Stegostoma tigrinum: one gene and its partners. The protein of the gene in region 1 purifies or fractionates together with the protein of each later gene. This does not show direct contact. Links are inferred from orthologs where the notes say so. Each region holds a gene or a part of one and is shown in the gene's direction. Other genes may lie near its edges.

What was found.
Region 2: the proteins of faf2 (region 1) and ubac2 purify together in Homo sapiens (affinity purification with western blotting; 7 studies listed by BioGRID and IntAct, with this or other methods). This does not show direct contact. The link is inferred for Stegostoma tigrinum from reciprocal best matches to the Homo sapiens genes FAF2 and UBAC2.
Region 3: the proteins of faf2 (region 1) and setdb1b purify together in Homo sapiens (affinity purification with mass spectrometry; 3 studies listed by BioGRID and IntAct, counting the BioPlex papers as one, with this or other methods). This does not show direct contact. The link is inferred for Stegostoma tigrinum from reciprocal best matches to the Homo sapiens genes FAF2 and SETDB1.
Region 4: the proteins of faf2 (region 1) and nploc4 purify together in Homo sapiens (affinity purification with mass spectrometry; 3 studies listed by BioGRID and IntAct, with this or other methods). This does not show direct contact. The link is inferred for Stegostoma tigrinum from reciprocal best matches to the Homo sapiens genes FAF2 and NPLOC4.

What each region holds. Positions count from the first base shown.
Region 1 is NC_081366.1:45,949,844-45,957,641, reverse strand, and holds the start of faf2 (FAS-associated factor 2), read left to right. Parts: upstream 1-4,784; 5' UTR 4,785-4,839; coding exon 4,840-4,908; intron 4,909-7,798. UniProt on the Homo sapiens protein: Plays an important role in endoplasmic reticulum-associated degradation (ERAD) that mediates ubiquitin-dependent degradation of misfolded endoplasmic reticulum proteins.
Region 2 is NC_081359.1:17,621,651-17,628,859, reverse strand, and holds the start of ubac2 (ubiquitin-associated domain-containing protein 2), read left to right. Parts: upstream 1-4,193; 5' UTR 4,194-4,277; coding exon 4,278-4,308; intron 4,309-7,209. UniProt on the Homo sapiens protein: Restricts trafficking of FAF2 from the endoplasmic reticulum to lipid droplets.
Region 3 is NC_081400.1:5,507,179-5,514,596, forward strand, and holds the start of setdb1b (histone-lysine N-methyltransferase SETDB1-B), read left to right. Parts: upstream 1-4,397; 5' UTR 4,398-4,635; intron 4,636-7,418. UniProt on the Homo sapiens protein: Histone methyltransferase that specifically trimethylates 'Lys-9' of histone H3. H3 'Lys-9' trimethylation represents a specific tag for epigenetic transcriptional repression by recruiting HP1 (CBX1, CBX3 and/or CBX5) proteins to methylated histones.
Region 4 is NC_081375.1:23,072,279-23,079,626, forward strand, and holds the start of nploc4 (nuclear protein localization protein 4 homolog), read left to right. Parts: upstream 1-4,338; 5' UTR 4,339-4,459; coding exon 4,460-4,474; exon of another isoform or gene 4,475-5,055; intron 5,056-7,348. UniProt on the Homo sapiens protein: The ternary complex containing UFD1, VCP and NPLOC4 binds ubiquitinated proteins and is necessary for the export of misfolded proteins from the ER to the cytoplasm, where they are degraded by the proteasome.

The sequences.
Region 1 (7,798 bases):
GGATGCTCTTTGGACAGCTGATGTGGATTCAATGGGCTGAATGGCCTGCTTCCATACTGTAGGAATTCTCAAAGCAAATAGGGAAAACCTTTTTCAGAGCACGATAGTGGGCCAATGAAACTAGATATTTTTGGATAGATTGAATTTTAATTTAGATATCTTTTCCTGTTTAGGGAGTGGAATAATGAATTTTCTCCAGCATTAATTTGTATAGTGTTTGTGTATACGGGACCAGTTTATGTCCAGATGAGTCAGAAAAACTGAAGATAGAATATCTTTTTTGGCTCAGTATCAGTATTTGTCCAATTGTGCTTTCGTGAAGTGCCTTGGGAGTTTTTATTATGCTCACTGTGATATAAATGCAATGTCTTGCTGACCATCTAGTTTCTATATTTTTACCACAAGCCATACTTTCAGTCATCATTCAGCAGATTATGGTTCATTTCCAGCTTTACTATGCAAGGTGGAGAGTCATCTGAATTGTAGTCACGGCTGAATTAAATCAGCTATTAAGTTATTCATATTGGGTTTTTTTAAAGTTTTGTTTGAGACATTTTTACAGTCTGATTCATTTAAATGAATAAATACTTAAGGTTTACTCATTTTATTCACGTACAATGTGACCAATAATAGACCCCTTAACATTGATAACAATGAAAGAGAACATGAAGTTTCAATTAAGGGAAATTGTATCACAGTGAATAGTTTAACATCACGTAGAGAGATATGATTTACATTTGGGGATATTTAATCTTCCACTCACCTTAGTTCAATGATCCATTCAAAATGTGCACTTTCATGGGCCACCAGTCACATTCCAGTAAGTTGCTTAACCTGCTATTTTGTCAGTGTGTGCATGTGCTGAATCTTGCTCAACCATTTGAGCGTGGAATGCAAGCTAATAACGTCATGTCTATCCTCCTCCAATGCCCACCCACTCGCCTTACGAAGCAGAGATCCTTGGATTTAATTTTGAGTTTTACCTTCCAGCCAAGGAATGTTTGACTGCCTGTCTCATTACTCTTCTTACTGGCTAGTCATGATAACACTGGATTGCCTTGGTGTCTTCATCAACTTTATAAAAATTAGCAAAGGGTCACAGGAGATAAACTTCCAAATTCTAAAAAGGAAACAACAACCTAATAGACTAAGTCATAATATTGCGACCTATGTCAACTTACCGTTTAGTTACTCCAGACCTAGCTTTCACAACATTTCAATGGAGCTGTCAGAACCATGTTCCTTCACGTCTACAGCTACATCAATTCCTGAGTAGTGCTGGTGAAGGCTGCCAGTAGGTGTGAAGTTTTCTAGGCTGAAACTGCAGGAATTTGTAACAGATAATGGAAATAATAATTGTGTCAAATAGTATTTACACAACACACTAACCAAGAAAAGTCTCCAAGGGTGTTTGTTTTGTAGGATTTAGGATTTGATTAGTTTTGTCCTTCTAGAAAGCAATTGTTTTTGCCAGTTTTTGTTTTAAAATTGGGTTGATGTCTCCTATGCTTTAACAGAAAACATGTCTAGACTATTGGCTATTTCAGGTCAGTTAATAGAACATAACAAGTACTGTTATTTGAGCCGAGACAAAATATCTATTTTATTGTTTATTAATAATGACATTCTTGAAAATAGTGTTTTAACAAGAATTTGTATTTACATACTGCAATTAAGATCGTCAAATTCCTGAGGTACCTCCATAGAAACATGAGTAAAATTTGAGACCAATCACTGGAAATTTTAGGATGGTCAAAAATGTAGGTTTTAAGGAATGCTTTAAAGGAAAAAAAAATTAAGGAAGGAATTCTAGGGTGATGGTAACTCAGAAATTATGGATATGTTTAGAAGGTCAAGTTTGAAAAGTGCAGGTACCTTAGACAGTCATAGAGTTGGAAGAGATGACACAGAGAGGGAGAGGTGAGGCCGTGGAGTTATTTGAAAACAAGGATGAAATATTTTAAATTAAGGAATTGCTTAAATCTGAAACAACTTTGGTCAGTGAGCACAGTGGTGATGGATGAACAGGATTTAGTCTGAGCTTAGACACCGGCAGCAGAGATTTGGGTGATTTCAAGCTTACTGAGGGTAATAAGAAGCTGCCCAGGAATGCATTTGAATAATTATAGATGTTATACAGTTGGTTAGAAAGGATTTCAGCAGCAGATGATTTAAGGGATGTTAACCAATGATGTTGCAATGTGGAAGCAAGCACACTTAGTGATTGGGCAGATAGGTAGTTGGAAACTCACCTTGGATTGATGCTACATTGCAAAGAGTCGGGTTCAGCTTCTGAGGGTTGCCATGGAGACTGAATCAGTGGCTAGGAAATGGAGCATGGAATGTGTGTGCGGTTGGTGTGGGGATCTGAATGTAATGATTTTGGTCATCCTGATATAGAATTTGAGGAAATGTCTGCTCATTTCCTGAGAAGAAATTTCTGTTGGATCAACAATCTGATCATTTAGAGAGTGTGGAGGATTGAGAAATGTGAGTAGTTTATCATCAGTATATACGTGGAAATCGAGAGTGTTTCCTGATCATGTCACTGAGGAGAGACGTAGAGGAGAAATAGGTAGGGGTCAAAGGTAACAGTTCAAAAGAAGATGGTTATTGTCAGGTTAAAATTAAATAGATGAGGATGAAACTGGGAAAGTTTTCTATTAAAGTGAGCCAACAGTGAAGAGGCATTGGAAGAACTTCTTATGGTCATTCAAAATTATAGGGTGCAGACAAATTTAGAAGAATAAAAATATATTTTACTGTCACTCACAAATAAGATGTCATTTATAACTTTGAGATGAACTATTTCAATTAGGCAGCCATAGAAACATAATTTGGGTGGATTCAAATATGAAGTTTTGAGAAATATGAATACAGATTAATTGACAAAAGAATGTTAGAGGATCTTGGAAATATAGTTTGAAAATGGAGTGGCAGTTTGTAAGGATGAAGTTCAGGAATGAAGGATTGTTTTTAGGTCAGGTAGAATAGTACCTGAGAAGACAGAGCCATTAATAAAGTCAACTAACATGGAATCATAGAAAGGAAGTTGGTCAACAGTTTAGTGGAAAAGTGACCAGGAAGTAGGAGGTGGGAATAATGGACAAGATGAACTTATAAGGGCAGTTGGGGATATAGTATCAGTCATTTGTGGCTTAGTGTGTAGTATTGTCATCCTCTGAATCAGGCATTATGATTTCAAGTCCTGCTGCAGGACTTAAGCACAAAAATCAAGTACTAAACTGTCAGAGATGCCCTTCACAGATTTCTCAGAACAATCGCATGGCAGTGAAGATGTTAATCATGGTTTCCCTGCTAATACTTAGTCACGAATTAACTTAAGAACATTCGTTATCAAATCGCTGTTTGTGGCAGACTGCTGTGCACAAATAGGCAGTCATAGTTTCTAAATTCCAAAACTACACAAGTAACTAATTTGTTGTAAAGTACTTTGAGACAGCCTGAGAATTTGAAATCGTAAAAGTGTTGTCAGAGGTGCAATTGATGGATGCAAGCCGGAGGGGATTAAGATAGTTTGCAGTGAACAAGAGGAGCTGTTGTTTATGTTTATTTATTAGAATTATCCTGGTGAAATAAGCAGTTTTGGCTTAGGAGAGCAAGATCTAGCAGCAGCAGCATCATTCAGGTAAGATCTCACAATGAATACCTAAACTAGTTGTCTGCCATGTCTACTCAAGTCTGTTACCCTTTGCTCATCGCCGTTAAGTAGTAGGGTGAGGCTCATGCCGCTAATGGCAATTGTAGAATATCAAGCCTGGAGGTGTAGGTGCAGTTGACTTGTTTTAATTGAAGAACAGAGGCTAAGTAGTGGGATTTTGAAAGCACAGCTGTTGAGTGTAAATTGAAGAAGCTTTCTGTGAGTATATACAAGAGGCAGGAACGTTGGAAATGGGATGCAAGTGGAGAGCAATACAAACAAGTAACTGGCATGAGAATATTGAGGCCGTGTAAGATTAATTGCAAGATCAATGGATGGGTGCAAATGTGGTTTGGGGAGTTTACATGGAGGGAAATGTTAAGCTAAGACGGCAATGAACTCAGAAGGCAAATTTAACCGGAATGGAGAATTTCAAAACGTGATTCAAAAGTCATTGTTTAATCACGACTAAAAAAAAACTCTCAGATAGAAGTCTGAACATTAATCGCTTGGAAAACTACTTTGCAAACATTAGCGTCATATCATTCTATATCTAACATGTCTAACTTCAAAGAACATCTTTTCCACCCACGTATTTCAACTATTGTCAGTATTTTTGTGCGTTGGCAACGCAATCTTGTCTGCGCTCAGCCTCCTACATCAAGACCCATCTTCAGTGTTAAGGATGGCAGGAAGGGGAGGAAACCTCCAGAGACACGTGTTGCGACGGGTATTAAACGTAAAATAAGCGGATACGAGTTGTAGAATATGTGTAGAGTGTTGTAGAATTCTAGAACTCCCGGGCGAAGGTTCCGGCATCCCAGGCTAAAGTTCTGGAATCACGGCCCAGCTCTCATGACCAATCGCGTGCTGCACTGAATTGAACTTGCAACCTCTCAACCCAGGCGCCACAACTCCATCAACTGTTAAGGTCGGCGCCGGGCGATTCCGAGAACTACCGAAGAGCGTCGGTTGTTTCCGTAACCGGCCCACTATCTGTGCTGGAATGCATCGAAATCCAAAACCCGATGCGTAAAAATACCTCGTACCATTTTTAAATATTGGTGCAATTTCAGAACTCAACTACTGGTTGGGCCGCATTTTTTTTTGCGTTTCGTGGTTGCGACTTTACCCAAAAATCATCTACTTCCGCACGGGCCTGGAACGCAAGATCCAAGATGGCGGCGCCTGGCAATGAAGAGGAGGAACTAACGCAAGAACAAACAGAGAAACTGTTGCAGTTTCAGGTAAATTCATCAAACTTAACAGAATTCCATAGAGGGCGACGTGAGTCGTCATTCTCAGGTACTTTTTAATTCGTTAATTGAATTAATTTAGTCCTGCTGAAGGGCTGAAGCTTCTGCACCTGTGGCATTTTCTGTATTCACAACATTTTCTGGTAACCCTCCATCTGGCATAATTCACTTAGAGCAAGGAAAAAAAACTGTCAACTACAATTCCATTTACAAAATTCTAAACAGTTAAAACCCTAATAGTGTTAAAAATTGAATTAGCTGGATCTATATTTTATGCTGAATAAACATTTGGTGATTATCTTAACTGAAACCATTTTAACTTTAACAAAAAGAGATATTGCTGGAAAACTCCAGCTGGCCTGACAGCAGCTGTGGAGCATTTGGAACATTTTAACTTTTATCCTTTTTGCTTTTGAAGCAATGTGACTGTGTCGTGAAATGTTCACTTATGAAATAAGCTTGTGTTTTGCAGGACTGATGTATGCTAAGCTTAGTGTAGAGTATTTAATTTGTGATTTTATTAAGTGTGTGGCAAACTATCTGGAACTTGTTAAAACTTTGTAAATGTTAGGGGTCTGTGAAATTCTATCCCTTGGAAAAGAAGAACATTACATTAAATGAAACAATAACTTAAGAATTACATCAATTAGTTGAAAGTTGAAAAGGCTGAACTCATCTTAATGAGCAAGTATTTCTCTGAATTTTCAACAATTTTTTAAAAGATTTTCAAGCCAGACACTGTAACCGTATGGTTTTACATTTGTATCCTGTATGTGTAGTTCAGGTGATATATAAAGTCTTGCATTAGATCTGATATTGCAAAAGGTGAGATTCTTGTACTGCCAGATAAGCATTTTGCAAGGCAAGAATGGATGAAATTGAATGCATCGCTAGCTATCAGGAAGTTTCCTCAAATTGTTTGTTCTTGCTTCAGCCACGAGATAGGTCATAGAGTGGTTGCAGCACAGTCTCATACCTTCTTTGAAAGAGTGGGTGGTGTTGTTGAGTGGAGGAAGAGACAGAGAATGAAATGACAAATCAGAATTTTTTTGTAGAGATAGTAGGAACTGCTGATGCTGGAGAATCTGAGATAACATGGTGTAGAGCTGGATGAACACAGCAGGCCAAGCAGGAAAGCTGACGTTTCAGGTCTGCATCCTTCTTCAGAAATGGGGGAGGGGAAGGGGTTTCCGAAATGAATAGGGAGAGAGGGGGAGGCGGATAGAAGATGGATGAAGGAGAAAATAGGTGGAGAGGAGATAGACAGGTCAAAGGGGTGGGTTTGGAGCCAGTGAAGGTGAATGTAGGTGGGGAGTTAGGGGATGGGTTGGTCCAGGGAGGACAGACAGGTCAAGGAGGCAGGATGAGGTTAGTGGGTAGGAGATGGGGGTGGGCCTTGAGATGGGAGGAATGGCTAGCGAGGTGGGGAGTAGCTAGGCTGGTTTTGGGATGCAGTCGGGGGAGGGTGATTTTGAAGCTTGTGCAGTCCACATTCATACCCTTAGCCTCCAGGGTTCGCAAAATTTTTTGTGTTGGCCCTAAGGTACAAATTACATTTTAAGTTGTAGAGGCAATTTAGTAACAACTTGATGGATGGATATTACAAATCCCCTTAGAATCAGTCATAGAGTTGTCCAGCCTGGAAACTTTTTCAAACAGGAACTTGTAGGACTTGAACCGTGATATATTGGCCCAGAGGTAAGACACTACCACTTCACCGTAGGAACTCTCAAGTTGTTTGTATAGGAACATTGATGTAGAAAAATGCCCCAAGGCACTGAACGACAATTTTTTTTTACAACATGGATAACTGCAGGGGAGACATGTGGAAGAGGGGTTCGTGACCAAAAACTTGGTCGAAAACTTAATTTTGAAGGAGGAGGAAACCCAAGCGGACTTATGTAGGAATTTTAGATGTTAGGGGCTTGACAGCTAAAAGAATGATCCTAGTGGTGGAACAATTAAAAGTGGACATGCAATAGGCTAAAACCTCGATTGTGGAAATCTTGGATGCTTGTGTGAATGGAAAAGCTTATGGAGATGGGGTGAGATGAGACCATGGAGGGTTTTTAAAGCAAGGGTTTATTTTTAACATGGTTAAGCTGTTGCTGATGTACTCTGCTGCTTTCTGCAACCAAAATATTGATAGGCAGTCTAGCTTTGGATGAGATTATTAGGGTGGAACAGAGGTGTCCATCAAGAGGAACATTGTCTTAGCTTGACTATATCTCAAGTACAGATGAGAGTCATCTGCATATTTACTTGAAGCAGACGTGGATGTGTATATCATCTTGGGAAATGGAATGGCTATGTGATAGAAAACTCATTGGAGTCAAACACAATTGCAAAGTTGTGCATAATCTTCCTCTATTTTCAAATTTGGCAGGTACGGAGATGGAAAAGGTTGTTGCAGAAGAAAGATTCTGGTGGTAACAAACTTCAGTGATCGCAATACTTAGGCATGGGAAATACCTGCTTGTTCAGTACTGAATGTTAGCTGATTGAATCAATTATCGCTGAACTGCCACACTCAATGTTTAATTAGAAACGTCATTTTGAGTTAAAAACTGAAAGAACTGCAGATCCTGTAAGTCAGGAATGAAAACAGAAGACCTCTGTTCAGGCTCTATCCTATCATTTACTCCCTATCCCATTCCCCTTCCTATTTTCTGTATATAAACCAACATTTTTCCAGCTACCATCGGTTCTGAGGATAGTCACTGGATCCGAAACATTACCTCTGTTTTTTTTTTCTTCACAGATGCTGCCAGACTGCTGAGCTTTTCCAGCAACTTCAGTTTTTGTATGTCATTTTGAATATTATTTGAATACTTAAGTATTTAAACCAGCTCCTCAACTGATCTCTAAACATGAGTTTTTG
Region 2 (7,209 bases), on another chromosome or scaffold:
TTTCTGAGCAAGTTATATTTGCAAGACTTCAGGGGCAACCACACAACATCATTGATGTGACCAAATATGCAAAAGTATTCATGCAATAGATTTTGTAACATCGTATGCTGTATCTTTTTGTCTTCAAGAATAATCAATTGACAAAAATGCACTTTATTTTAATAAGAAAACCAATCTCTTCAGGCATTTATTTGTTTTTTTTATCCCTTCTTTTCCTGAAGAGTGTTTGGGTCCGTGTGTTTTGGGAATATTTATAGGAAGCATATTTATACATCTGTATTACTCTATGAATATATTAACCAATTGTTGCAATTGAATAACTCTTGGTTCGAAAATAAATCCCAAATTGTGCTTATTAATGTGGATAAGGTTTTTGGTTTATTATCTTGGTGATGAGAAAGAGCATTTTTTACCTTAGTGGGAGTGCACTCCTCCAACCTCAGTCATAACAATGCATTTAACAATTGGTCATGTAATGATTTGACAGTCTTTGTCTGCACATATTCTGCTTAATCCTGCTATGAGTGATGTAAAGATCAATGACGGGTCTGATTACAGTTGATAAGATAAAACAGAATTTCTTCCAAATAAATTCAATAAAAAGGAACAGTGCAAAAGACAAGTTCAGTTTCAGAATTTGCTATTGGGCAAAATTCTAACTTGATGAAGGTGAGTAATAGGGTCATGTCCAACATTGCATAGCCTCCTCTTACAGCATCTCTGATTTGTTCACCAATTATCTTAAACCTATTTTTCTTTCGTCAGCAATCCTCCTGCCAGTAGAAACAGCTTGTCTTTACTTACTCTATCAAGTCACTTAACTTTGAACATCTCAATTAAAATCTCACTTAACTTCTCAGTTCTAAGGAGAACCATTGCAGCATCTCCAATCTTTCAACTCAACGATAGTGCCGTAACTCGGTTATCCATTCTAAATCAGCTTCACAGATACCTGCAACAAGTTACTAGAGATAGGTATCTAGTTTTAAATGGCATGAATATAATTATCTCTTCAGCCTAAATTCTTTTACAATCAAAGATTCATTAACAGAACTATCGAGATGCATGGTGAATGATTTGAGATGGACGTAGTTTACAATGTAAATAAATATTGCCATCTGGTGGATTGTGGTACTAACTGCAGAAAGAAACCATGCAAAACCTAATGGGGTTCACAAGAGGCCATTGGGCCAGCAAGCTTATTAGTTCTACAAATTGTATGTTTTGGTATTTTGAGCCAGTTAAACCTAAAAGAGTCAAGCAAAACAACAAACGGATGGGGTATAAAAAAGAAATTTGTGGGATGTGGGTACCATTGGTAGAGCCTATATCTGACCATCCTTAACAACCCTTAACTGAATGGCTTTCGATGTCATCTTAGAGAGAAGTAAAATCACAATTCTGTGATATAGGAAACATGAAAAGGCCACACTAGGTAAGGACAGTAAATATTTATCTAACAGATGTAGGTTGGTAGAGTAGCTCTGTGGTTAGTGCTGCTACCTCACAACACTAGGGACCCAGGTTCATCTCCAGCCATGGGTAATTGTTTACATGGAGTTTGCATGTTCTCCCCATGTCTGTGTGAGTTTAATTGGGTACTTCAGTTTCCTCTCAAAGTCCAAAGATGTGCAGGGCAGATGGACTGGCCATGCTAAAAAAAACCCTGTCCTGTTATAGGGATGTGTAGGATGGATGGATTAGTAATGATAAACATGGGACTAAAGGGCCTGGCCCAGGTTGGCTACACTTTGGAAGTTCAGTATGTGCTGAATGGCCTCTTTCCACACGGTACGTTTTCTATGACATTAGTGAACTCAATGTATTTTACAACAATTCCTTAATTTCATGGTCACCATTACTCATCATGCTGGCGGTTTTCAATGTCAGATTTATGTTGGGTAAAGGTACAAGGGTCTGAAAGGATTAATATTGATATTGCCTTAAGCACCACCCAGTAAAGTGCTGTCATTGTGGCTTTCATGGGAAACCCGATCAGGTGCAACATGAGTCTGGGTCTATCTCATAGTTTCTGTAATAGATTCTATTACATAATGTCACTTCTACTAGCTGCTTTCATGCAATACCATAGTTCTTATTTAGGACAACAGTAAGTGCTTTATCTCTACCAAGCAGGCCTGTAGATTCCTACCAAGAAAGAGGATGGTGAGTGCAATGGGATAATTGGGTAACAATTTAGCTGCTTCCTGCGTTTCTGGTAGCAGTGGAGGTCTGAAGTGTGTTTCTGAGAGGGAACGTACCTAGCCACATGACCAATGGTTGAATTTTTTTTGTCTCACTGGATCCATGTACTAGGGCCAGTGCTCCCAGTTGTGACTTCTTCTCTCAGCTCTTCCCGACATAACTTATATCTTTCTCTGCAGAAGTCTCCTCACTGTATCTCAAACCATGGGCTATCCCATTACCTGTCTCTGAATAAATACCAATCTAACTAATGCATGTTCAATATTGAAGTTTATACAAGTACCAATTTCTTAGTATGTACTAGTGAGCGTACTCCTAGTGAGTATAACTATTACTATTAGTATTAATGTTACTGACGTGGAATAAATATCACTCATAAAAAAGCTATATAATTATTACTGTTGTTTGTATTAACTATTGTCACAGAATATTGTTTAAAAAGACACAGTTTGTTAGAGCATTTCACCTTGCATTCATCAGAAGAAGTCATAAAACATACCAAAGAAAAGTGAAAATAACATTTACACTAAAAGGGTACTCTGCTTATTGCACAGCTGGATAATGGTGTATGAATTTTACTGCTTGTGTGTTGCTAGGTATATAGGCCATGTGTTCAAAGACTGGAGGATTGCATCAAGGAATATATCTCTCCACCTGGATGAAACAAGCAAATTAATGACTGTACCCACTCAGCCACACTTGTGAAATTCACAAAACAATGTCCAACATTAGATGTGATTCTGCGACTGGACAACACTTGCTGGATAATTCTGAGGGGATGAAGGATTAAGCCGATAACCAATTTAAGATTATCAGTCAGGCTAGCAATGTCATGCACTTGTGTATACTACAAGTTAAATATATTAAGACAAAGAGCCCTGCATATTGCAAACTTGAAGGAAATGTACACATGCAACCTGTTTCAACCCAAGAATAATAACAACAGCCATTTTCTGGTTCATATCTCAGGATAATAACTTGACCAATAGGAGCCAACCTACTAGCTTTAAAATGTAAGCAAAGTTTTACAGTTTACTGTCAGTCAACATTAACTGCTGCATCTGCAGACCAAACTTTCTCACAATCTGAGTCCACTTGCAACCAATCAGTACTTGCCTGTCATAAATTTTAATGATGCGTTTTCCCTGAATTGGATTTTATTTATTAATGATATCATCAACAGAACTGAGAGCAAGAAGAAAAAGCTTTGACAGATATATCTCCTTTTTCAGCAGCAGTCAAGTTCTGTTCTACCACACATAGGAACTAGGGGAAGGCGTTTAGCTGATTGAGCTTGCTCTGCTGTTTAATATGGTCACGGCTGAGCTCATCTTGGCCTCAGTTCCACTTTCCTGCCTGTTTTTGATAACCTTTCAAACTGTTACTAATTAAAAATCTATGTTCTCTTTATATTTACTCTATGTGCTAGCATCCGCTTCAATCTGGGATAGTGAATTCCAGATTCATGACTTGGAGAGAAGCAATTACTCCTCATCTCTGCTTTAAAAGTGTTTCACCTTGTGCTAAAACTATGACCTTTTGTTCCGGATTAAACAAATACTTATTACTACTAATAGAACTATTAGTATTAGCCAAATATGGCTCTTTAAATCAAGCTCTCTAATAATTATGAACATGAATACTATTAATAGTAATTTATAGTGATGAATGCTATTAATTGTAATTAATAGTAATTAATGTTATTAGTGTAGAAAATACTGTTAGTGAGAAAACACAGTCAGTGTAAACGTCATTGTCAGATAAAATTACTACGACGTGAATACAAGTATCAGTCCCAATGAATGTTTCAGTCTCCAGGATCAGGTCGAGGGGGCGGGGTCTGGAATGGGAGGCGCGGTCAGAGCGAACATGTGGGGCGAGGGCGAGCAGGTGTTTTAGAGCCAGGAGCGTGACAATGACGTTGGGGCGGGGACAAAGTGAGGGGTGGGGTCTAGATGAAGGGTGGTCTTGGCGGGGAAGGGTGTGGTCAAAGGCGAGAGGCGTGGTCAACATTGGGGATGGGGTGAGGAAGAAAGGGCGTGGTCACCGCGTGTGGGCGGGGCCACGGGACGATGTTCGCTGGGACTGGTTCCAGCGGCCTCTGTGAGTAACCGAGACATGGGAGTGGGAGTTGGGGCAGCTCAGGGAGTCCTGAGCAATGGGAAACTTTTCTGTTGATTCTCCCCGATTCGAGGTGGAGACGGTTGGGCCGGTGCAGTGAATGGCAAGCGCGGCACGAATATGGAGGCCTCGTTGGGGGCGGGGTTCGCCAATGAGCCCAGGGAGAGGAAAGGAAGGGTCTGGGTCCTACACTGACCCCGCTCCAGACACCATGGCCGGTAGGCCTGGCTACATCCCTGTCTGACTGACACCACCCTGAGACACCCCCCAATGTCTGCCTGACACCCACCACCAGACACCCCCCCCCATGTCTGCCTGACACCCCCCCCATGTCTGCCTGACACCCGCCCCCAGACACCCCCCCCAATGTCTGCCTGACACCCGCCCCCAGTGTCTGCCTGACACCTCCCCACAGACACCTGCAATGCCTGTCTGACGATCCCCCAGACACCCGCAATGTCTGTCTGACAATCTCCACCTGCCCTGTCTATCTGCACCCCACCCTCACCCGCCCCGTCTATCTGCACCCCACCCTCACCCGCCCCGTCTATCTGCACCTATACCCACACCACTCCATCTGTCTCCAACTGCCTGTCTGCACATCACGCCCACCCGCCCCGTCTGTCTGCACCCGAACCCTGCCTGCACGCCACCCTCACCCACTCCATCTGTCAGCACCCCACCCCCTGCCCCGTCTGTGTGCACGCCACCTCCACCCGATCCGTGTCTCTGCACGCCACCCTCACCCACCCTGTCTGTCTGCACCCCACCCATACCCACTCCATCTGTCTGCACCCCAACTGCCTGTCTGCACCCCATGCCCACCCGCCCCGTTTGTTTGCACGCCACGCCCCCTCACTTCCCGTCTGCCGGCACTCCCCCACCCCACACCGCGTCTGTCTGCACTCCCCACCCCATGCCCCGTCTGTCTGCACCCTCCCCCACACCCTGTCTGTCTGCACCCTCCCCCACACCCTGTCTGTCTGCACCCTACCGTCTGTGTGCACTCCCCCCAACACCCCGTATGTCTGCAACCCCACTGCACCTACCCCACCCTGTATGTCTGCAATCCCCCACCTCACCCACCCCATCCCACCCCGTCTGTCGGCACCCCCCTTGCTCCCCACCCCATCTGTCTGCACCCCCCTTGCTCCCCACCCCATCTGTCTGCACCCCCCTTGCTCCCCACCCCATCTGTCTGCACCCCCCTTGCTCCCCACCCCATCTGTCTGCACCCCCCTTGCTCCCCACCCCATCTGTCTGCAACCTCCTGCTCCCCACCCCATCTGTCTGCAACCCCCGCACCCCACCCCGTCTGTCTGCGCTCCCACCCCACCCCGTCTGTCTGCGCTCCCACCCCACCCTATCCTACCCTGTCTGTCTGCACTCCCCCTCCCACACCCCGTCTGTCTGCACTCCCCCACCATGCCCTGTTGTTCTGCCCTTCACTCACTGCTCCCCCACCCCGTCTGTCTGTACTCCCCCACCCCGTCTGTCTGTACTCCCCCACCCCGTCTGTCTGTACTCCCCCACCCCGTCTGTCTGTACTCCCCCACCCCCGTCTGTCTGTACTCCCCCACCCCAGTCTGTCTGTATTCCCCCACCCCGTCCGTCTGTACTCCCCCACCCACCCCACCCCACCCCACCCCACCCCACCCCGTCCGTCTGTACTCCCCCACCCACCCCACCCACCCCACCCCACCCCGTCCGTCTGTACTCCCCCACCCACCCCCCCACCCCCCCACCCCGTCCGTCTGTACTCCCCCACCCAGCCCGTCCGTCTGTACTCCCCCACCCCACCCACCCCGTCCGTCTGTACTCCCCCACCCCACCCACCCTGTCTGTACTCCCCCACCCCACCCACCCACCCACCCACCCCGTCTGTCTGTATTCCCCCACCCCACCCACCCCGTCTGTCTGTATTCCCCCACCCCACCCACCCCGTCTGTCTGTATTCCCCCACCCCACCCACCCCGTCTGTCTGTATTCCCCCACCCCGTCTGTCTGTATTCCCCCACCCCACCCACCCTGTCTGTCTGTACTCCCCCACCCCACCCACCCTGTCTGTCTGTCTGTCCTCCCCCACCCCACCCACCCTGTCTGTCTGTCTGTCCTCCCCCACCCCACCCACCCTGTCTGTCTGTCTGTCTGCACTCCCTCTCCCCCCCACCCACGCACCCACCCAATCTCTTTGCACACCCCACCCACACACCCACCCCGTCTGTCTGCACTCCCCCCACCCACACACCCACCCCGTCTGTCTGCACTCCCCCCACCCACACCCACCTACCCACACCCACCTACCCCGCCCCACTCCCCCTACACCTCCCACCCCCCCCCCACCCCACCCACACCCACCCCCCCCACCCCACCCACACCCCCCCCCCCACCCCACCCACACCCACCCCCCCCACCCCACCCACACCCACCCCCCCCACCCCACCCACACCCACCCCCCCCACCCACACCCACCCCCCCCACCCCACCCACACCCACCCCCCCCCACCCCACCCACACCCAACCCCCCACAGCCCCAGACCCCCCGCCCATCCTCCGCCACCCACCCCCGCCCCCCCCTCCCCCACCCACCCCCACACTGCCACTCTGTCTGGGCCATTCAGTATTCTGAAAGTTTCAGTTAGATCCCCCCTTATCTGTCTGAACTCCAATGAGTATAGTCCCAGAGTCCTCAAACGTTCCTCATGTGTTAAGCTTTCCATTTCTGGGACCATTCTTGTGAGCGTCCTCTGAACCTTCTCCAGGGCCAGCAGTACATCCTTCCTGAGATATGGGGCCTCACCTTTGCACTTACAGTATGTCGTGACCCAAGTCTGTGCCTCCAGAGAGAGCAAAAGCATGCCCAATATTTAGGCTATACTGTCA
Region 3 (7,418 bases), on another chromosome or scaffold:
GAACGCAGGTCCCTGGCGCCGTGAAGCAGCAGCGCTAACCACTGAGACACCGGGTCACCAAGTTTCCTTCCCCTTTTTTAAGCTGATGTGAAGAGCACTGTATTTTGTTTGAATATATTTGACAATAAATGATTCAATTCAATTATTGTGAGTAGCTGAAGGGGCATGAAGCAGGATTCTTTATCCCAAGGGCATCAGATCTGATTTGGATTGATTTATTGTTGTCGCTTGTACCTAGGCACAGTGAAAAGTTGTGTTTTGCGAGCAGCACAGGCAGATCATACCACACAATGATCATCGGGTGACAGATCAGGGTGAGATATACGATGTAGTGGTTACAGAGGAGGTGCACAAAGAGCGAGATCAACATTTGAATTTTGGGAGGTCCACTTAGAAGTCTGATAACAGCAGGGAGAAAGCCCTCCTTGAATCTGTTAGTATGTGTATTTAAGCTTTTGTATCTTCTGCCCTCGTGGTGTTATTGCTAGACTATTAATCCAAGAGACCGAGGTGATGTTCAGGGGATCCAGGTTCGAATCCCACGACGGCAGATGGTGGAATTTGAATTCAATCAAAACAAAATCTGCAATTAAGAGCTACCGAAGACCGTAAATCTGTGGCTGAATGTCGGAAAATCCCATCTGGTTCACTGATGTCCTTCAGGGAAGGGAATCTGCCCTCCTTACCTGGTCTGGCCTACATGTGACTCCAGACCTACAGCACTATGGTTGACTCCCAGTTGCCCTCTGAAATGGCCAAGCAAGCCAATCAGCTCTACCAATCGCTACAAAGTCTCAACGAAATGAAACTGGTCGGATCACCTGGCATGGCACTGTAAAGGAAAATGGCAGAAACAGCCCTGTCGACCCTGCGAAGCCCTCCTCACTAACATCTGGGGGTTAGTGCCAACACTGGGAGGGCTGTCTCACAGACTAGTCAAGCAACCGTCTGACATAGTCACATTCACAGAATCACACCTTACAGACACTGTCCCAGACACCACCATCACCATCCCTGGGTATGTCCTGTCCGCCACCCGGCAGAACAGACCCAGCAGAGGGGGCCGCACAGTGGGATACAGTTGGGAGGCAGTTGCTCTGGGAGTCCTCGACATTGACTCCGGACGACATGAAGTCTCATGGCTTCAGGTTTAACACGGGCAAGGGAACCTCCTGCTGGTTACCACATACCGTCCTCCCCCAGTTGATGAATCGGTACGCCCTCCATGTTGAATATCACTTAGAGGAAGCACTGAGGATGGCAAGGGCACAAAATGTACTCTGGGTGGGGGACTTCACTGTCCACCACCAAGAGAGGCTCGGCAGCTGTCCTACTGATCGGGCTGGTCGGGTCCTAAAGGACACAGCTGCTAGGCTGGGTCTGCAGCAGGTGGTGAGGGAACCAACAAGAGGGGAAACACATATTTGACCTCATCCTTACCAATCTGCCAGCTGCAGAGGCATCTGCCCATGACAGTATCGGTAAGAGTGACCATCTCACAGTCCTTGTGGAGACAGAGTCCCGCCTTCACATTGAGAATAACCTCCATTGTGTGTGTGGCACTATCCCCGTGCTCAATGGGACAGACTTCACACAGATCTCGCAAATCAGGACTCGGCATCCCTGAGACGCTGTGGGCCATCAACAGCAGCAGAATTGTACTCCTGCACAATCTGTAACCTCACAACCTGGTGTATCCCCCACCCAACCATTACCATCAAGCCAGGGGATCGACCCTGGTTCAAAGGAGAGTGCAGGAGGGTATGCCAGGAGCAGCACCAGGCAGACCTGAAGGTGAGGGATCAATCTGGTGAAGCCACCAGACAGGACTACTTGCACACCAAACAGCGAAAGCAGCAAGTGAGAGACACAGCCTAGCGATCCCACAGCCAACAGATCAGGTCTAAGCTCTGCAGTCCTGCCACATCCAGTGGCGAATGGTGGGGGTCAATTAAACAACTCACCGAGGGATGGGGCTCTGCAAATATCCCCGTCCTCAATGATGGAAGAGCCCAGCACATCAGTGCAAAAAGTAAGGCTGGAGCTTTCGCAGCAATCTTCAGCCAGAAGTGCCGATCTATCTCGGCCTCCTGCAGTGGTCCCCAGTGTCACGGATACCAGTCTTCAGCCAATTCGATTCACTCCACGCGATGTCAAGAAACGGTTGGAGACACTGGATACTGCAAAGGCCACAGGCCCGGAGAGCATTCCGGCAATAGGACTGAAGACTTGTGCTCCAGAACTTGCCGCTCCCCTACCCAAGCTGTTCCAGTGCAGCTACAACCCTGGCATCTACCTGGCAATGTGGAAAATTGCCCAAGTATGTCCTGGACACAAAGAGCAGGACCAATCCAGCCTGGCCCTTTACTGCCCCATCAGTCTCGATCATCATGAAAGTGATGGAAGGTGTCAGTAACAGCGCTATCAAACAGTACATGCTCAGCAGTAACCTGCTCAGTGACATCCAGTTTGGGTTTCGCCAGGGCCACTCAGCTTCTGACCCCATTACATCCTCGGTTCAAACATGGACCAAAGAGCTGAATCGCAGAGGTGAGGTGAGAGTGACAGCCCTTGACATCAAGGCTGCATTCGACTGAGTGTGGCATCAAGGAGCCCTAGAACTGGAATCAATGGGTATCAGGGGCAAACTCTCCAGTGTTTGGAGTCTTAGGTGACACATAGGAAGATGGTCGTGGTTGTGGGAGGTCAGTCATCTCAGCTCCAGGACACCTCTGCAGGAGTTCCTCAGGGTAGTGTCCTCAGCCCAACCATCTTCAGCTGTTTCATCAACGGCCTTCCCTCCATCATAAGGTCAGAAGTGGGGATGTTCGCCGATGATTGCACAATGTTCAGCACCACTCGTGACTCCTCAGGTACTGAAGCAGGCCATGTTCAAATCCAACAAGATTTGGACAATATCCAGGCTTGGGCTGACAAGTGGCAAGTAACGTTCATGCCAGCCAAATGCCAGGCTATGACCATCACCAATAACAGACAATTGTCCCTTGACATTCAATGGTGTTTCCAACACTGAATCCCCCACTATGATTGATCAGAAACTCAACTGGACTGACTACATAAACACAATGGCTACAACAGCAGGCCAGAAGTGTTACTGCGGTGAGTAACACACTTCCTGATTCCCCAAAGTCTGTCAACCTTCTCCAAGGCACAGGTCAGGAGTGTATCAGAGATTATGGGAACTGCAGATGCTGGAGAATCTGAGATAACAAAGTGTGGAGCTGGATGAACACAGCAGGCCAAGCAGCATCTTAGGAGCACAAAAGCTGACGTTTCAGGCCTAGACCCTTCTCAGAGAGGGGGATGGAGGGTCTCTGATGAAACATCAGCTCTCCTGCTCCTAAGATGCTGCTTGGCCTGCTGTGTTCATCCAGCTCCACACCTTGTTATCTTGGCGTCTTTGATGACGTTGGTTGCATTTATCGTTACAAACGTGAGGCTAAGCCAGAAAATTGGCGTAGTTTGAAGAATTAAGCACGTGCTTGAGGTTTGGTTGAGGAAATCCATGATTGGTTTGACTGCTCCAGCTGCCCCACTCGGTGCCCAGACTCACCGTCGCCAACTGGAGCTGGAGGTCCCAATTACGTGAAGAAAGGCCTTGTCTCTGTGATCAGAGCCTGGGAATCGATGATCTAGCCGAGCGAGGTCAGAGGTTTTGCTGCACTGAAAATAGCTGGGTGTGGACCACCTGCTGGTTCATGCAGATGGCCATTCGGCCCTTCCAAACTTCTACCCCACTCCACAACAGGGTGACCATTGTCACTGGCCAGCCCATGTCTCTGCCCATCCATTGGTAGAAGGTCCTATTATTGAGCTGGATGGGCGGGACTGCAAATGTTCCAAAAGCCGATTGGCCGGCTTATCAGTCGATCAGGAAGAATTGCCAATCATTACGGAGGGGCTTGGAGATGGTTGGGCGAGCGAAACGTCAATTACAAATGGGCGGCATAATCGGCGGTGACTGTTACCCTTCCATCTTCCCATTGGCAGGGGAGGACGTCGATAAACGGGTTGGTATGCGCGGGAGTCCAGTGGCGTTCTCCGTCTGGGAAGACAACCGCTCGATTGGCTGCTTCCATGTCGATCGCGGCTGATAAGGTGGGACCACATGCGATTGGTCAAGACTCCAGCATTTCGATGCCCATGTGGGTGGGTCCTCATCGCATTGGACAAGACCACCGTCGATCAGGAGGAGAGGAGGCTGGACCCCATTTGACTCATCTAGACATCGGTCAATCAGACGCTGCGGGGGTGGGGCCTCATTCAATTGGGCCGCGTGCCCGTCACTCGCGGACCGTGGGGGGCGGGGCCGGCACCGATTGGCCGCGGTCCCCGTCAATCCGGTTGGCCGGCAGCGACGTTGGCCAATCCCCGTTCAAGGTGGGTCGCAGCCCGGCGTGTTTGGGCGACTCACCAGCAGCCGTCTTTTCAAAACATCCTTTCACTCGGGGGCCTGGGAGGCGGCGGAACGGTGATGCACTTCAATTAAAACCATGTAGCCTTTCCACCGCAATTTGCAAAGTCACACAGAGCGAGCGAGCCTGTTAAAGAAATTTAGAGAAGCCGCGGCCTAGTGGTTAGGCGCTAGGCCCAGCCTCACGGCTGCAGGAGAAGGTGAGATGCTCGGATTGTTTTCTTATTGTTTGTCTCCTGCAGGTTGGTGCGGAGGTTCGCTCGTCGTCTTCTTTAGACTCCACGTTCCCGCACTGCGGCCGGGTGTTTCTGCCTCCCGGAGCCTTTAATCTTCCCATTTTTTTTCTTTCACTTTTTTTTCAAAATTGCCTCGGAGAGCCGTCCACTGGAGTAGTGCGGCTGCGCGAAAGGGCCGTGCGCTGCTGCACCGCGCGTGAGTATGCGCGTTGACCCCGCGGAGCATGCTGGGGATTGTAGTTCCTGGCTCCCCCTTTTTCTCTCTCTCTCTCTCTCTCTCTCTCTCTCTCTCTCTCTCTCTCTCTCTCTCTCTCTCTCTCTCTCTCTCTCTCTCTCTCTCTCTCTCTCTCTCTGTGTCTGTCTGTCTCTTTCTTTCCCTCTCTCTCTCTGTCTCTTTTTTGTTTCCCCTTTTTCCCCCAAATCCTCCCTTTCACCAAATCCCCCCACCCCCCTCTACTGTGGCTCGAGGAATCAGCCCTATGTAATATTGCCTGTGAATAACCCAATTCCTGAGAAAAAGGTCAGAATGTGTAAGAATCTTAGGATCCCTACAGTGTGGAAACAGACCATTCAGGCCAACAAGTCCACACTGCCCCTCCAAAGAGCATCCCACCTAGACCCAATCCCCTGCCCTGCATCTCCCATGTCTAACTTATGTCACCTAAACTTCCCCAGGCACTATGGGCAATTTAGCACGGCCAATCCACCCTAAACTGCACGTCTTTGGACCTGTGGGAGGGAGCTGGAGCGCCCGGAGGAAACCCCACGCAGACACGGGGAGAACGTGCAAACTCCGCACAGACAGTCGCCCGATGTTGGAATCGAACCTGGTTCCCTGGCACCGTGAGGCAGCAGTGCTAACCACTGAGCCACCGTGCTGCCCATATGAGCACCATGCCACTGGGTGGTCTCGAGCCACCAATTTTAGTTTCAAGCTAGGCCATTTCAGATCCACCTGTTATTGTGGTGCATTCACTAGTTTTTGGGCCTGACTAAACAGATTCTGCCCTGGGAAATGTTGAAATAGGAGCTTGAGTGGTTATATCTGACCCAGCAAGCCTGTTCAATTGTCCCTTCCTATTTCCTTTGTCACTTATTGTCTCGAAGAAACTTCTTTGCCTTAAATACATTCAGTGACTCCACAGTCTCAAATCATAGAAAATTCTGCCACATTATCAGTGAAGAAATTTCTCACCTCTGTATGAAAGCAGCAGCTCGGTGCCGCAATGGTTAGACAATAGACAATAGGTGCTGGAGTAGGCCATTCGGCCCTTCGAGCCAGCACCACCATTCATTATGATCATGGCTGATCATCCACAATCAGTATCCTGTTCCTGCCTTACCCCCGTAACCCTTGATTCCACTATCTTTAAGAGCTCTATCCATCTCTTTCTTGAAAGCGTCCAGAGAGTTGGCCTCCACTGCCTTCTGGGGCAGAGCATTCCATATATCCACCACTGTCTGGGTGAAGAAGTTTTTCCTCAACTCTTGTTCTAAATGGCCTACCCCTTATTTTTAAACTGCGTCCTCTAGTCCTGGACTCACCCATCAGCGGAAACATGCTCCCTGCCTCCACAGTGTCCAATCCCTTAGTAATCTTCCACGTCTCAATCAGATCCCCTCTCATCCTCCTAAACTCAAGTGTATGCAAGCCCAGTCGCTCCAATCTTTCAACATATGATAGTCCCGCCATTCTCGGAATTGACCTCGTGAACCTATGCTGCCCTCCGTTAATAGCAAGAATGTCCTTCCTCAAATTGGGAGACCAAAACTGCACACAATACTCCAGGTGCGGTCTCACCAGGGCCCTGTAGAGCTGCAGAAGGACCTCTTTGCTCCTATACTCAATTCCTCTTGTTATGAAGGCCAGCATGCTATTAGCTTTCTTCACTGCCTGCTGTACCTGCATGCTTGCTTTCATTGACTGATGCACAAGAACACCTAGATCTCGTTCTGCTTCCCCTTTACCATCTCAATGGAGTCAAGTTAGGTAATCTGCCTTCCGGTTCTTGCCACCAAAGTTTATAACCGCACATTTATCCAAATTAAACTGCATCTGCCATGCATCCGTCCACTCACCTAGCCTGTCCAAGTCACCCTGTATTCTCATAACATCCTCCTCACATTTCACACTGCCACCCAACTTTGTGTCATCAACAAATTTGCTAATATTACTTCTAATGCCTTCGTGTATATCATTAATGTATATCGTAAACAGCTGCGGTCCCAGCACTGAACCTTGTGGAATGCCACTGGTCACTGCCTGCCATTCCGAAAGGGACCCGTTTATCACTCCTCTTTGCTTCCTGTCAGCCAGCCAATGTTCAATCCAACTCTATTTTGCCCCCAATACCATGTGCCCTAATTTTGTTCACCAATCTCCTATGCGGGACTTTATCAAAGGCTTTCTGAAAGTCCAGGTACACGACATCCACTGGCTCTCCCTTATCCATCTTCATAGATACATCCTCAAAAAATTCCAGAAGATTAGTCAAGCATGATTTCCCCTTCGTAAATCCATGCTGACTCTGACTTATTCTGTTACTGCTATCCAAATGAGTTGTAATTTCATCTTTTATAATTGACTCCAGCACCTTTCCCACCACTGACGTCCGGCTAACCGGTCTGTAATTTCCTGTTTTCTCTCTCCCTCCTTTCTTGAAAAGTGGGACAACATTTGCCACCCTCCAATCCACAGGAACTGATCCTGAATCTATAGAACCTTGGAAAATAATTACCAATGCGTC
Region 4 (7,348 bases), on another chromosome or scaffold:
GTGGAGGGTGAAACAGAATCTGGCATGAGTCTTCTTCAGAACTGTTTGCTTTATTTTAATACATTAATCTCAATTTGATAATCAGATTTAAGCTTTTATAAAGTATTTCTCAACTGTCCATGACTTGCTAGTGAGACTCACTTTCAGGCTTCAACTGACTTCTTTTGTCGATTAGTAATAACTGAATATTCAACAAAGGCTGAATCCAAGTTAAAGTTAAATATTTCATCCTCCTTGGATAACTTTTTTTGCTGGCTGCTGTCAGTTGTTTGTTGCATGTAATCAGCAAGGTCATTGGAAAAGCAGATAAATTCATTTCTTCCTCACCTCTTCCAACAGACATGAGGTGGCTCAAAAAAGAAAGCAGAGGCTAAATTGTCATGAATTTTATGGTCAAACAGTGTAGAAAGTTCCAGACCTTTTCATCAGTTGGATAGTCTGCTTTTATGTCAGTCTCATTCTCTGCCATTCATTCCTGTAAGAGCAAATGGAGGTAACTTTGCTGCAGGTCACTGTTACTTTTGGTGAATCCTATTCTCTGCTTCTCCTACCTTTCCTCAAAGTAAGTGAGAAATCTGCCACATCCTCCTGTGGTCCTATGGACGTTGGTTCTTCAATGAAAAATGGCTTGCAGATTAAGGAGTCAATTTCTTGTCGAGAAATGAATTTATTTAAATTCAGCTGCAGCATGGGAATAAAAAAGTTTCTATGTTACCTGCACAGCTCCGTTTTATAAAGAACAATGCTGTTTGGGAATGATGTACACAGTATCAATAATCTCCATTCCATTCTAGAAAAGGATAACCTGCATCTGCCCTCGCACTGTTATTGTAATGCCTCCTACACCTTGAGGTTTAGTTGGACACAGGTGGAGAATTTAAGCTTCGACCATAGTGGTGAATCAGAAAGAATGGCTATGCTTTCCTCTGTATCCACTTTAATACCAATTTATTTTCTACTAAACATGATATACATGCCAGTGGAACCACCAGACCACCCCACCACCCAGAAGAATATGTCTTGAGACTTGGCAGCATTTACTTCTTTGATAACTGTAGAATGGGGCAGTGTGTTTTTCAACTTCTGTCCAGCAAATAGACAATCCTCATTGTTACTTTATCGAACCAGCCTAAATTGGCAACAAAAGCAGAAATCGCTGGAAAATCTCAACAAATCTGACATTATCTGTGGAGAGAAACCAGAGTTAGCATTTCAGGTCCAGTGACCCTTTTTCACAACTCAGCCTAAAATGATACTCAGCATTGCTGGTTGGGTGGGATTGTTGACAATGTGAAGCTATCCTAATAGCACAGACAAGAAACAATGACAGAAAATGGTGCTCCTTTCTCTCAGTGTTATTTATCTTACCAGCAAATTGGTAGCTCCCTATTAATGAATTGAACTGAGTGACATTCAAGTGGTCTGGCACCAGGAAAGTTCTCTGTCTTCAAGAATAAAATCTCAGCTTTATTTGCAAAGTACAATCTGGTGAACTGCACAGCCTTTCCTCATATAAAACAGAATTTTAGAGGAGAGCACAATGGCTCAGTGATTAGCACTGCTGCCTCACAGCACCAGGGACCCAGGTTCAATTCCCCACCCTTGGGCAACTGCTTGTGTAGAGTTTGAACATTTGCCCCCATGTCTGCAGGGGTTTCCTCTAGGTGGCTCCAGTTGCATCCCACAGTCCAAACCTGTACAGTTCAAGTGGACTGGCTGTGCTAGATTGCCCCCAGTGTGCAGGCTAGGTGAATTAACCATGGGAAATGCTGTCTGGCTGGCTGGGTTGCTTTTTGGAGGGTAGACTTGATGGTCCGAATAGCCTGTTTCCACGCTGCAGGGATTCTGATTAAATTGAAATTTCTCAAAAGAGCTCCATCAAACACTTGCACACTGATAGAGTCCCTTCATGAGCTCATCTCTCAATCTTCCCTATTGGCAGTTAGCACCTGGCTGATATAAATTATTTATAGAAGAATCAATAGACTTCCCTAGCTCTTTGTTCTACCAGATAAATTTTGCCCTTTGATGGGATTGTGTCTTTAACTAGAATAAGAATCAAAGAACTAGATCACATCATCATATTTAACAGTGTGTTTTCTGTGCCTGACCTGATAAAAATAGTGTCAATACTGCTATTGATCACGTACAACAATACACTGATTTGGTCTTTATCTGATATTTTTGAGGTCAATGGCAATCTGGTATCAACTAAACCATTCGTCCTAGTTGACCTAATACAGGATCTGGTCACAGGCACTGAATGTGGTCCAGTAGCCCAAGAGAAGGCCTTTCTCTCAGTGTTATTTATCTTACCAGCAAATTGGTAGCTCCCTATTAATGAATTGAACTGAGTCACATTCAAGTGGTCTGGCACCAGGAAAGTTCTCTATCTTCAAGAAATAAAACTCAGCTTTATACTGCTGAGTATTTTTCTTCTTGAAGAGTTATGGCAACTGAAAACATTTTATTTTCTCCTCTTTGTGAAGATCTCTAATCTGCAGTAATCTCTTATATACTATGATCAGGCAGCATCTTCTTTACATATGCCATGAGTTCTGTGGATCTGGTCACCACTTGCCAACATGTTTTGAGATTAAATCTGGGTTATTGATAGAAGGTAATCTGCTTCCATGTCAGTTAACATCAACCACCTTTACATTAACGATATATAAGAAAATGGTAAAGAAGACATCCCTGGGAAACCAATGCATTTAGAGCCCAATTCCGTATCATCTGACACCATGATGGGCATTACTCCTTACAGACACACTCAGTGGAATAAAGGTATAGTTGGCCACTTACTCCACAGGAGCAGAACGGGAATAGATGATATGTTGATGCAGTGAGCTGAAGTAGGATAAGACATAGCATGTACAGGGTTAAAACATTGGAATAAATCTGAATGGCCTGTTTTGGTAAATTTACACACAATTCTAGGAATGATACATACATGATTATTTTGTAAATTCCCTATTAAAATGTTGCGATAATGTTACTTCCGCCATCTACAATTCGACCCCAAGACATTTTCCCATCCCCACCCTTGTCTGCCTTCCGGAGAGATCACTCTCTCTGTCACTCCCTTGTTCGGTCCACACTCCCCTCCAACCCCACCACACCCGGCACCTTCCCCTGCAACCGCAGGAAGTGCTACACTTGCCCCCACACCTCCTACCTCACCCGCATCCCAGGCCCCAAGATGACTTTCCATATTAAGCAGAGGTTCACCTGCACATCTGCCAATGTAGTATACTGTATCCATTGTACCCAGTGTGGCTTCCTCTACATTGGGGAAACCAAGCGGACGCTTGGGGACCGCTTTGCCGACACCTCCGCTCGGTTCGCAATAAACAACTGCACCTCCCAGTCGTGAACCATTTCAACTCCCCCTCCCATTCTTTAGACGATATGTCCATCATGGATCTCCTGCAGTGCCACAATGATGCCACCTGAAGGTTTCAGGAACAGCAACTCATATTCTGCTTGGGAACCCTGCAGCCCAATGGTATCAATGTGGACTTCACCAGCTTCAAAATCTCCCCTTCCCCCACCGCATCCCAAAACCAGCCCAGTTCGTCCCCTCCCCCCCAAGCCTGTCTCTGCCTCCCTAACCTGTTCTTCCTCTCACCCATCCCTTCCTCCCACCTCAAGCTGCACCTCCATTTCCTACCTACTAACCTCATCCCACCTCCCTGACCTGTCCGTCTTCCCTGGACTGACCTGTCACCTCCCCACCTATACTCTCCTCTCTACTTATCTTCTTTTCTCCATCTTCGGTCTGCCTCCCCCCTCTCCCTATTTATTCCAGAACCCTCCCTCCGTCCCCCTCTCTGATGAAGGGTCTAGGCCCAAAACGTCAGCTTTTGTGGTCCTGAGATGCTGCTTGGCCTGCTGTGTTCATCCAGCCTCACACTTTGTTATCTTGGGTATTTGTAACACGGTTTTAAGCTTTGGTCCCACATTGACTAATATTGGACTTACTTGATAAAAGCACATCTTGTTAACTACACTGCACTTCTACTACATCATGCACAGAAAGTTGTCCAATTGGTGAATGTTCCGACGGATCTGCTTTTTAACGGGTGTGCAAAGTTTAAGAAAATTAATGTTAACTTGTCCATCTCATTAGGATATGTGGTATCAAAGTTCAAAAAACTGTTAACTGTTCTATAATTTTATGGGGAAACGAAATGGAAGTAAACTTGCTGGAATATTTTAGGATAGGTTGCGCAAATATAACTAATTACTGTGCGTGTGGTAGTTTGTACGTAAATTGCTAAGTTTTGTTTTTGCATTGTCAACGTTGTACTGCGTTGTACAGAAGGGGGAACGTATATACCTCGGAACGGAGTGTTACCTTGCGCTGTGCAGCATCGGACGGGTTTTGTGGTGACACGCGGAGGAGTTGGAAGGCAAATTTCGGTAAAAGGCCGAGGAGCCGCTCCCGGGGGGTGTCATGGCGGAAAACATTGTGAGTAACGGCTTCATCTTCGGCGAGCTTCTTGCAGCCTGCTCGGGTTCGGGGCCTGAAGGCCTCCCGCCTAACATTGGTGGGCCGTCCTTATTACCTGACCTGGGACACGACCGACTGGAGAGGTCCCTGATTTTCCCACTTAACTGCCAGGCCCGGACTGAGGAGTGGGGGTTGACAGCTTCAGGCCAAGGCCCCGACAGCGGCCCTCCCTGTCCCTGGGGTTGGAATGGAGCATCTCCACACGTCTCCGGTGTCGGAGCAGTGAGGCAGCAGATCGGGTTTAGATCCCTCCCCTCTCCCTCCATGCCTCAGCCAGCTGGAGGCCGGGGAAAGATGTGGGGTTCTTTCGACCACTCACAAAATGACACGATGTAACCTCCAACATGACTTGCACCAACGTTTGATTATTTAGTCTGTGCGTGGACTGTAGATTTGCTTTGCTGCCCGGTTTGAAGTGATTACTCAGTTAAACTGAGTCTCTGCCTGATGCACCATATCGAGTTGTGATTGCTTCCTAGTCCATTATGTTGACTACCACAACTTTTTGGAGAATGCAGCCACCACAGTTGCCTAATCCTTCTGTGTTGCACTGTCAGTATTGTTTGTCTGTATGAGGCGCTCGTTCACAGCCAAAGCTGCGTTTTTGGCCTCTGCCGTTTGCCCAATTTTCAGCAGTTAGACACTGCTGCATAGTCAAATGTTGAGCAACAGATTTCGCGACCATTGTGGATTTTGTACTTTTAAATGTCAGTATTCAGAATTGCTCTTCTTGCTCATTCAATGACGTTCAATTTGTCTAACTGTAGGATTGAAATTATATGGTCACGTAATTGCTCAGTCACTTAGAAAAGGACACACTTTGGATTCAGTCATGTTGGCCAGGATCCCTGGTCAGTAAATTAGCTCATCCCATCCTGAATGAACACTAAGATTAGCTCGACCAAAGTGCTGCTGCCCTCTGGATTCAGACCCCTGAATGAGTTGGCAGTTTTGCATGGGGAGGGAATTTTAATATGTCTGCATAATTTGAAGAAGCTGGGGAAACACACTGAATATTTTTGAACAACCTGTTTTTGTTTTAATAAAGAAGCTTTGCTGTAACTTGTGCATTTGAAAAGAGACTACAAATTGAAGACTGTCTAAATGATATGAATTACTTGCAATCTGAAGTACTATATGCATGTAAATATTTATTTAAGGTAGTAAGAGTTCAGTAAATGCTTTATTATATCTTGTACACAACTTGTGAGTTTAAAGATATCTATCTGGATTGAAGCACACAATGATTTTGTAGTACTGTGGGCATTTTATAGGTGCTAGATTAATGAAAATTGTGACTTACTTTTTAAAACATTAATTACTACTTCATTGCAGTTTTAAGGCTGTAATGGTAGTGACAAATGAGTTAGTTGGGAGATTGGAAAATAGACACTTTAGTGATCAGCTGTTGTATGATGTAAGTGTGGGTTAGGAAGTTAGTGCCAGCTATTTACGTAAATGTTTTAAAATTAAAAATAAAGTTGGTCACTGTGCTGTAGCTTTGTGCCAGTGATGTCAAGTAGTAGTTTTCAGAGAAAGTTTGAATATAGATGCAATGATTGGAGATAGAGATGAGTGAAATCCAGTAACGAAAGGTGAACTACTGGAAACTCCAGCTGGTTAGATTGCATTTTTTTTTTGGAGAGAACAGAAAAGTTTGAAGATTCCACAACGAAATCTCTATGGAATGTAATCCAGACAGTGGGTTGGGAGCTGTTTTATGTCCATTTGTATAACACCTTGATTTTATGTTTATAGTTTTAAAAATGAAAACATTACCAATTGGAAAGTAGAAAAGGAACCCCTTTGGAACACTGTCTGCATTAAAGATTGAGAAACTAGAAGATACAGAACTGAATCACTCAAACACTACCACTGGTGTGATGGTGTGGACAGTTACAAAAGTCGGCACAAGAATTTACAATGGATTAGTAATAGAAAACATAACACAAAAAATAACAATTTGAAATAGGATTTTTGTAGCCAGAAATACATGTATGAATTAAGTTTTTGAATGCTGGCTTTGGTTCAGTTTGTAAGATCCTGCCTCTGAGTGTCAAATGTCCATGTTCAAGTCTAATCCCAAGACTTGAGTGTCAGCAGGGCTTTTCTTACACTCCAGTGCAGTCCTCTGAGCACAACATTGCTGGAGGTGCCATCTTTCAGATGAAATATCAAACTGAGGCCCCATCTACCTATTCAGATGTATGTAAAAGATTGTGCCGCACATTCAAAATGAGGAAGCGAGTTGACCTGTCACCAAAAATCACAAAAAAAACACCTGAGCATCATGACATCGCTGTTTATAGAGGCTTATGACATGCATTTGGTTGCTGCTTGCCCTCCATTACAATACCCTTTTTATTCAAAAAATACTTAAAATAACTATAGAGTGCTCTGTGTTGTCTGTCTGTTGTGAAATGTGCAACGTAAATACACATCCATTTTTAAAATGTGTGGTGATGTAGTGTGCCATGATGAAGAGATAGCAAGAACTGCAGATGCTGGAGTCAGAAACAACACTGGAGCTGGAGGAGCAAGAAAGTTATGTTTTGAGTCAGGACTCTTCTTCAGAAATGGAGAGGGATCTCAAATAAATGGAGGAGGGATGGGGCTGAAGAAGGTAGGTGGGATGGTGATAGGTGAGTGCAGATGATAGGCAGTGGTGGAGATTGGTCAGTGAGATAGGTGGGAGAAAAGATGGACAGGATATGTCAGGTCAAGGAGGTAGGGATGAGAGGGAGTGTTGGACATGGGATGAGGCTGGGGTTTGGGGAGATTGAAACTGGTGAGCTCCATGTTTAGACCATCAGGCTGTAGGCTTTTGAATCA